2 linked regions of the Saccharomyces cerevisiae S288C genome follow. The protein of the gene in region 1 binds, or shares a complex with, the protein of each later gene. Each region holds a gene or a part of one and is shown on either strand. Other genes may lie near its edges. The genes, in order: ASI3 and ASI1.

The links.
Region 2: ASI3 (region 1) and ASI1 share a complex: the UniProt entries of both Saccharomyces cerevisiae proteins name them as parts of the asi complex.

The regions. Positions count from the first base shown.
Region 1 is NC_001146.8:615,611-620,381, reverse strand, and holds ASI3 (putative ubiquitin-protein ligase ASI3), read left to right. Parts: upstream 1-2,140; coding exon 2,141-4,171; downstream 4,172-4,771. Other genes in the region: TOR complex subunit LST8, read right to left, coding at 1-315; type II HSP40 co-chaperone SIS1, read left to right, coding at 817-1,875; isocitrate dehydrogenase (NADP(+)) IDP3, read right to left, coding at 4,299-4,771. UniProt on the Saccharomyces cerevisiae protein: Part of the nuclear inner membrane (INM)-specific branch of the ER-associated degradation (ERAD) pathway, required for the elimination of misfolded proteins in the INM, a specialized ER subdomain. Required for ERG11 degradation.
Region 2 is NC_001145.3:503,050-507,721, forward strand, and holds ASI1 (putative ubiquitin-protein ligase ASI1), read left to right. Parts: upstream 1-2,283; coding exon 2,284-4,158; downstream 4,159-4,672. Other genes in the region: bifunctional phosphoribosylaminoimidazolecarboxamide formyltransferase/IMP cyclohydrolase ADE17, read right to left, coding at 4,453-4,672. UniProt on the Saccharomyces cerevisiae protein: E3 ubiquitin-protein ligase which transfers ubiquitin to substrates promoting their degradation.

The sequences.
Region 1 (4,771 bases):
ACGCACATCCCAAACTTTAATGGTCCCATCTTCGCTAGAGGTCACCATCCATCTGTTGTCCTGTTGAAAAGAAACGGAGGTAACGTTTCCCCGATGACCCTCAAAGGATGCTACTGGATTGGGATTTGTCGTCCGAATGTCATAAAGCCGTACGTTTTGATGGCCTGCTGTTGCCAACAACTTTTTATCGTTGGTGATTTCTAAGCGATTAACCTGTGAGTCGGAATGCTGAATTGTTCTTGAACAAACCCCAGTAAGAGCCTCCCAAAATCTTATTGTGTGGTCATAGCCAGCAGATACTAAGATAACAGACATCAATCAGAACTCCTTTTTTATATGGATGACAAGACTGCCACGTTGATCGCTGCGCTAATAATATATGGTTGTCGCACTCTTCTATAACATGATCAGTAATAGCTAGTCGTTACTTTTCTGAATCTTAACGTATTGTGTTACCCTCTTTGGTTTATATGAACGTTCCAGAAACTTCTGGAAAAAGAATGGGATATCCTTTTACGGGTTTTTCAACCACTGTCAGCACAAACTCCTTGCCAAGGTAGTTCGAGATTTAATATATATTGTATAGATTTCTCGTCCCTTTACCGTATTGTTAATCCCTTTTTAAACTTATGCGCTTTCTTGTCAAAAATTCTAATTAATATTATTTAAGCTCTTACACGAATTCTTTTAACGACTTAGAATTGTATAACCATCCAGAAACTCTTCAGAGGATAAAGGATAAGTTGTTTGCATTTTAAGATTTTTTTTTTAATACATTCACATCAATATAATAGAGTATAGTATACAGAACTAATAATGGTCAAGGAGACAAAACTTTATGATTTACTTGGAGTATCTCCAAGTGCTAATGAGCAAGAACTGAAAAAGGGTTATAGAAAAGCAGCTCTAAAATATCATCCAGATAAGCCAACAGGTGACACAGAAAAGTTTAAGGAGATATCAGAGGCCTTTGAAATTTTAAATGATCCTCAAAAAAGGGAAATATATGATCAATACGGTCTCGAGGCTGCTAGATCTGGTGGTCCAAGCTTTGGTCCTGGTGGTCCTGGCGGTGCTGGAGGTGCTGGAGGCTTCCCTGGCGGTGCGGGCGGATTCTCCGGAGGACATGCGTTCAGTAATGAGGATGCTTTCAATATTTTTTCACAATTCTTTGGCGGCAGTTCCCCATTCGGTGGTGCTGATGACAGTGGCTTCAGTTTCTCTAGTTATCCATCTGGCGGCGGTGCTGGTATGGGAGGTATGCCTGGAGGAATGGGAGGAATGCATGGCGGCATGGGAGGTATGCCTGGCGGCTTTAGATCAGCATCAAGCTCTCCCACGTATCCAGAGGAAGAAACAGTTCAAGTTAATTTACCAGTTAGTCTAGAAGATTTGTTTGTTGGTAAAAAGAAGTCATTTAAAATTGGAAGAAAGGGCCCACATGGGGCCTCTGAAAAGACACAAATTGACATTCAATTAAAACCGGGTTGGAAAGCTGGTACCAAAATAACATACAAGAACCAGGGTGATTACAATCCTCAAACGGGCCGTAGAAAGACTTTGCAGTTTGTCATCCAGGAAAAGAGCCATCCAAACTTTAAAAGAGACGGTGATGACCTAATTTACACTCTGCCACTATCTTTCAAGGAATCATTGTTAGGTTTTTCAAAAACTATCCAAACAATTGATGGCAGAACCTTACCTTTGTCGAGAGTACAGCCTGTCCAACCCTCACAAACTTCTACTTATCCTGGTCAAGGTATGCCAACTCCAAAGAACCCATCTCAGAGAGGTAATTTGATTGTAAAATATAAAGTGGACTATCCAATATCACTAAACGACGCTCAAAAACGTGCTATAGATGAAAATTTTTAATAGTAATCCTAAGCAAATATAATTATAAACTCAAATAAATTTATCACCACAGAAATCATATAATATACATCATTAATTTTGACTCAATAATCTTAAATTGCGCGGTGCGGTGCGCGGTAAATTAAAGTTTTTGTATGTCTGCATTACCCTGCCCTCTGGCATATAAATGATGTATGTAAGGAATGGTTGACTTGACAGAAGGTCACCGAGAGGCTACAATTTGTCAGGAACAGTCATTACGTAGGGATTTTCAAAAGTTTGACTGATGTCTACAAATATATTGCAACATGTTAAGCAATTGCTCCATAACAGAGATGTATTTAGCTTTTTTCACAACAAGACTGGAAATCTTAATTACCTAGATAACACAACTCAGAAACCGGAAGTTTTTGTAAGTCCAAATTCTACAATAGTTTCAGCCCCAACTTTGGACTCTTTTCAAGCATTGATGGAGAAAGGTAACTTCACCACTTTGCAACTAGCTAAGGTAGGAATTAGAATGTTTTTCTCCTATTCGGTAAGTAAGTATGCTGTTCTATGTTTTAGTACCGCCATTATTTTGAATAGGTTGACTGTAATGTCTTCATTGAGATCAAATTCTACAAACATTCGTTTACCTCTTTGGTCAAAAACTTTGCTCCATTTAGTAGCCACTCTTTCACTGGTTAAAGCACTTTTACAAATTCTGAGTCAATTTGGACTCATGCATGAACTGCACGTGAGTGATACAGATTTTTATGCTTTAAGTGTCTATTTATTTGTAGCTCTGTCTGACTGCATTGAAATTTTTATTTCTTCAACGACGAACGTTCCTTCATTAATATGCTCTGATTTTTCCATATGGGGTTTATCATTGAATCTTTATATCATATCCAAAATGCCCGCGGGGCAGCAGCATATTGGCGATAATGTTGAACTACTAGGAGCGGTTTTTCACAGATTAGTAATTCATTTGGTAGAATTGTTTCATATAAGAGCCTATAGATTATGTGGAGAAGTTATATTAAACGCGGGTTTTTTTACCGCATTCGTCACTAGGACCTATTTGAACGGATTAGATTTTATTAACATCTGTCTCATTCACAATTATTTCCCTGGCTTTTTCTATATTTCCACCATATTACTGGCGTCTATAGGCATTTTCCTGAAGGCTTTGTTCACCAGTAATCCGTTCCGATCATTATATTCAAGATATAAAAACTTGGAAAAATGGTGGAGATCAAATAATTACAATGGAGAAGAGGAGTTTAACGAAATAGCTCTTTCATTGTGTCTACTTTTAACGTCGAATGACTATAAAATATTTAAGAAATCAGACAACGTAAAATCCGTTGATGAAGTCGCTGCTTTCAGTAATAGTTATGTGGTTAGTGGACATTTAAACCAACTCCAGTCGACACCAGAGGATCTGTTATCTCGTAAGGAAATGACTACCGATTCCCAGTTACCAGGTTTTGCGAGGACATATTTAGGCCTTTTTGAATTAGTAAGAACCATTATTTTGACGTATTCTAGACTCCTAAAAAATCTTCTGTGGAGTAAAAATTTTGAGAGCAGTATAGATAAGAAACCGAGAGTGGGAAAGCGTAAAAAGAGGGATTTAAACAAATATGTTACAGAAAAAAACTATAAAAAGTTTTTATATAAACCGGACGTCAAAGAGCTTAATATTGAGAGTGATCTCAGAAGCCTGGAGTTATTGCTTCCTGAAGACGATTCATCAAAAGACTACTTTCCCCCCAGAAAAATCGATGAAAGTGTTTCAGATGAAGAGTTTGATAGTGATATGGAAAGTCAGTTGATTATTGATGAAGAAAAAGAATTAACACATTTATCAAGTAATGCTGTCGATTCTGATGATTTAGAGGAAATAGCCTGGAACATCTCCATGTGGTCTATTTTAAATTATGAAATGGATGTCCATAATAAGGTTAATGGACCGTTGACTAGATCACAATATGGTAAAAGAAACCCACAAGGTGTACTAGTCGATGTTGTTATTGAACGCCTTCTGCATCATACAAACTCCAGGTATATGTACAAACGTTTAAATATGAAGGACGATGACAAATTAGAGTTCAAGTTTGATTTTGCCTTTGATAGTTGCGACGAAGTGGAGGAAATGGATCTCTCCTGCCTAATCTGCAAAGTTAATAAAAGAAATATTGTAACTTGGCCCTGTAGATGCCTTGCATTATGCGATGATTGTAGGATATCTCTGGGTTATAAAGGATTTGCTACATGCGTCAGCTGTGATAGTGAGGTGAAGGGTTACAGTAAGTTGAATATAGTCTAGAATTATTTTATTAGGTATACGTATTTAAGACATCATAGGAATTTTTTTTTTTGGATATGTTCAACCTCAAGTCTGAACACTATAACCCTAGGCCAGACTTGTCTTTTCAAATGAATGGCGGATTGGTTTATAGTTTGCACATACCTTTCTTGTCTTCATTGGAGCTGAGCATCATGTTTTGAAGCCTCTTGGCAACTTCATCAATAAACTCTTCTGTGGTTACATATGATGATCTATTAGTCTTTCCAAGCATCAATGCTAAATCCTTGGTCATTTTTCCGCCCACTTGAACTGTGTCCAAAGTAGCCTTTTCTAGTAAGTTTCCAAATTTTATAACATCATCTGTATTGTCTAATTTTCCTCTTTGTATAATTGCCCTTGTCCAGGCAAATATTGAGGCTATTGAATTTGTTGATGTTTCTTCGCCTCTTTGATGTTTTCTAAAATGTCTGGTCACCGTACCATGGGCAGCCTCGCTTTCAAACGTTTTACCATCAGGTGTAATCAATATGGACGTCATTAAACCAAGAGACCCAAATCCTTGTGCCACAATGTCAGACTGGACATCGCCATCATAATTCTTCATGGCGATTATAAACC
Region 2 (4,672 bases), on another chromosome or scaffold:
TTACTCTGGTTCCTTTCAACGACATGGTATACAACTATATTGCATGAGAACTGGATGCGATGCAAGTACTTCTGGTACAAACATGTAAATACTATTGATTATATTACAGTAATTTTGTCAAAACACAGTGGCACAAAGTCATTTGATAATGTGATAGGATAACGAAACATATAAAGCGGAAGGACAAAAAAAAAGTAGTGATATTATGTAGAAATACCGATTCCATTATGAGGACTCTTATATCTTCGAGAGGAACTTCTATTATATTCTGTATACACAACATTATAGCCTTTGATCAACAATGGAGTTCACAATTATCAAAATATTCGCACAATATTCACGTAGAATAGTGGATGACAGAGTATATAAACAAAGAAAGAAGCACTCAGGATTTTCTATAAATAGTGAAGTTTTCTATGGACGCCAAAAAATCTTAAGGGTATCTTGAGTGTAATCATCATTGGAAGGATTATTATCTTTCACGAGTAAAATACTATTAATAACTAGTAATTTCCGTGAAGTCATTAAAATGAACAAAACGATAAAACGGTTTCTTATTGCTAATGTGCTGATTTTTTGCCAAAAGGTAAAATCTAAAAATATCAATTGCATACCTTCACATTTGGTATATTACCATATAATAGCAAGATGACATAAATCGGTGAGGAGCAGTTACCAAATTCCATGGAAGATGAAAAACAGGGTTGATAATATAATAAACTGTTGGAACGAGAGTAATTAATAGTGACATGAGTTGCTATGGTAACAATCTAATGCTTACATCGTATATTAATGTACAACTCGTATACGTTTAAGTGTGATTGCGCCTATTGCAGAAGGAATGTTAAACGAGAAGCTCAGACAATACTGAAGCTGTGTTAAAGACCTATTAGTTGAACATGTTATGGTAGGTACATATATGAGGAATATGAGTCGTCACATCAATGTATAGTAACTACCGGAATCACTATTATATTGGTCATAATTAATATGACCAATCGGCGTGTGTTTTATATACCTCTCTTATTTAGTATAAGAAGATCAGTACTCACTTCTTCATTAATACTAATTTTTAACCTCTAATTATCAACATAAACAATGGAAGAAAAATAATAATATTACCAAGCAAAATTATTGTCCTTGTGGATTTCGATATTTTCAACAGGTACCTTAGTAGAGCTGAAGTTTTTTCAAATTAAACATTTATGTGGTAGTCATATATATGTGTCATGCGAGTCTTTACATTAAATATATGGTAACCACCAGAGAACTTGTTATATTAGTCACGATTAATAATGTTGGAATAAAAATCCACTACCGTCTATCAACTAGTAGTTATATTATCAATATATTATCATAGACGGTGTTAGATGATGATATAAATTATGAGAAGCTGTCATCAAAGTTAGAAGAAGCTGAAATGCAAAGATTGATAATATGATAGGATAATGAAACATATAAAATAGAAAGAGGGATAATCGTAATATTAGTATGTAAAAATATACATTCCATTTTGAGGATTCCTATGTCCTCGTGGAGAACTTTTAGTATATTCTGTTTACCTAATATTATAATCTTTTATCAACAATGGAATCCCAACAATTATCTCAAAATTCACCTATATCTCAAATAATAAACCGATCGGACTGCGTTCAGTGAACCTCTCTTATATAGTATAGGAAGATCCAAATTTATTATTCGCTGATATGACCTTTTGACCTTTACATATTAACGAGGTGCTTTTACCAATGCATAGACGAGCAGCTTATCCCATAATGAGTTTAAATTCTATTCAACTCATAACAACTTATAGTTGCTATAGTCACACCTTTTCAACAGATAAGTGGTTGTTTGGCCGAGCGGTCTAAGGCGCCTGATTCAAGAAATATCTTGACCGCAGTTAACTGTGGGAATACTCAGGTATCGTAAGATGCAAGAGTTCGAATCTCTTAGCAACCATTATTTTTTTCTCGCGTATTCCTTTGAGGGCGCCCCTTTATGTTGAAATATTGAGAAGCTACGAATCAAACTTTGAAGTCAGTTGAGTAAGCAATATGAAAAACATTGGAAAATACAATAAAACACAATTACGAAAACTATATTGTTTTGAACAGAAAAATAGAAGGAAGTACTAAAATTACTCTTTCACCACACAACAATTTTAACTCAAGAAGATAATCACTGCTTACTTTTATATTTTATAGACAATTTGCACTTTGGGGTATTTTTCTTAATTTTATCTGGGTTTTTTTCTTCTTTTTACAAAGAAACTATGCTAAGAATATGAACTCTTCCACTTCTTCAGAAAATGTGTTCATAAATTCATTTAGCTATTTGAATCAAACATCACAAGCCGTAATCTCAGGTAACTCCACTTTCGCAAATGTTATCAACTTTCCTTATAGACTTGGATTATCCTTTATTGGGGCTGTGAACTTGCAGTACGAGCAAACCGTTAAATCTGAAGAAATTCCCCCAACTCTAAGGTCTGTTTTTGATACAATAGGGTTTTTTTTCAGCCCGTACGCCATATTTTGCTTTGTAATCGCCATTGTCCTGAACCGGTTCGTTGTATTTTACGCCGTCCTTAACAACGGTTCCAGACGTACTTTACCGTTATGGTTGAGTAATGTTTTCCATGTATCAGCAGTAGTTGTATTAGCAATGGTATCCTTAGGTCCGCTGACCTTGGGTAAGGATTTCAAAATATTAGGCGACCCTGCTTTTGCCCAAGAAAAATTTTTACTGAATATATTCTACGCTTTCGCTTACTCTTATTGTGTCGAAACCATATTTACCATCATGCGGAATTCCAGCCCTTTGGAGGGCACTGACTATTCATTGTTTGAACTTTCGATTCAGTTTTATACAATGACTAATAATAATACTAAATTTTTAGATTCTCCTGATTACATTATAGACTGTTCTATGGCTATTTTGAGCAGGATATTGATCCATTTGGTGGAGATTTTCAGGCTTAGAAATTATCGTCTACTTTTTAGTACTATTATGAACCTCTGTCATATTTGTTACTTAGGGATAAGAGTTAAGCAGGGCGGCTGGAAAAGCCTTCCATTTTCGGTGAAATTTAGGCACTTTCCAAAACTGTTTTCAGTGTCTATTATTTGCTTATCATTACTGATTTTTAAATTATCATGCTTAATTAGATGGGATCCATTTGGAAAATCACGTAATTCTTGCGAACTTTTACAGTTTTACCCTCTCAGTAGAAATTGGAAAAAATACTTAAATTACACGGGAGAAGAAGATTTTTCTGCTATGGCCACTAAATTCGCACTATTATTATGCTCAGGAACTGAACTAATGGAAAAGGGTATACGAAGAGAATTTCCTGCTATTAACATCCCGGATAATGTTAATGAGAAATTTTTTATTAGCGGTTATTTAAATGAACTTTCTAAACCGTATAAAGAGAACACTTCCATCAGCTTCCCAAAGAAAAATTCATCAATATTAAAGCAAAGATTTTTTTTAATGTTTCCAAAATCTATAATATGGATCATGAAGAAGCTTGTAGGCCAAGTATTCTTTGGCTTCAGAGATAACAAGGACGAGGACATCCCCGACAACGACCCATCAAAAATGTTAAAGATAACTAAAACGAACTCTCTCAATAATAGTGCCGGCCACAAAGAAGATATTGAACTTGAACTATTGAACACATCAGATGATGAGTATTCTGAAGATTACGAGCCTTCTGAAGTTGAGTCACTGGGGGATTCTGATGAAGAAAACTTGGAAGAAGATTCACTGATTTTCAACGAAACTCGGGATGCCCTACTGGATTTATTTTCTTCCGAAGATAATGAAGTTCATACTGATTATAATTGGATCATGTCAACTAGCCGTATCCTTCAACAAAAATTACTGTCAGATAAAACTTTGACAAGGGCGTCTATCTTAGATACAAAGTTAAGTGAAGTAGATGAGACTTTTGGTACAGAAAGTGATTTTGATCTATCTTGCGCGGTATGCAAAGTCAATGAAAGAAATACAGTATTATGGCCCTGCCGATGTTTTGCCATTTGCGAGGATTGCAGAATTTCTTTGGGTTTACGTGGGTTCAGCACTTGCGTATGTTGTAGGAGTAAAGTTCATGGGTACTGTAAGGTTCATCCTGTTTCAGATAGTAAATAATAGTTTAAGAACTTTTGCATGGTATCTAAAAGAGGTTTTTCGTTTGGGAGCTCTAGCATTAATTACTATAGCTAGAGCTTTCTGTGTTGCACATATAAACATCATAATAATAAATCAAGTTTTTTTTCTTTGGGAAATGTTCGAATTAAAATTGTACTTATAACATATCGTATCATTAGTATATATATAAAAGTGTCAGTGGCGATTATATCATTAGAGGAGGAAAGAATAAACTATACATCGATTTGCCGTCATTTCTGTATTTATGGCATATTGACTCTGAACTCATGCCATCTAATGGTGGAACAAACGGATTGGGTTCTCTACGTAAACCAAATCGAATGAATCGGCAGCTGAAAATACAACCTTGTCCATGACAGAACCAGATGGAGCGGCAATGTATTTGACACCGGATTTAACTGCTCTGTAAACATTGTCTGGGAATGGGAAAAATGCATCCGATGACAAAGAAACGTTGGTTAATTTACTCAACCATTCCTTTCTTTCTTCTGGA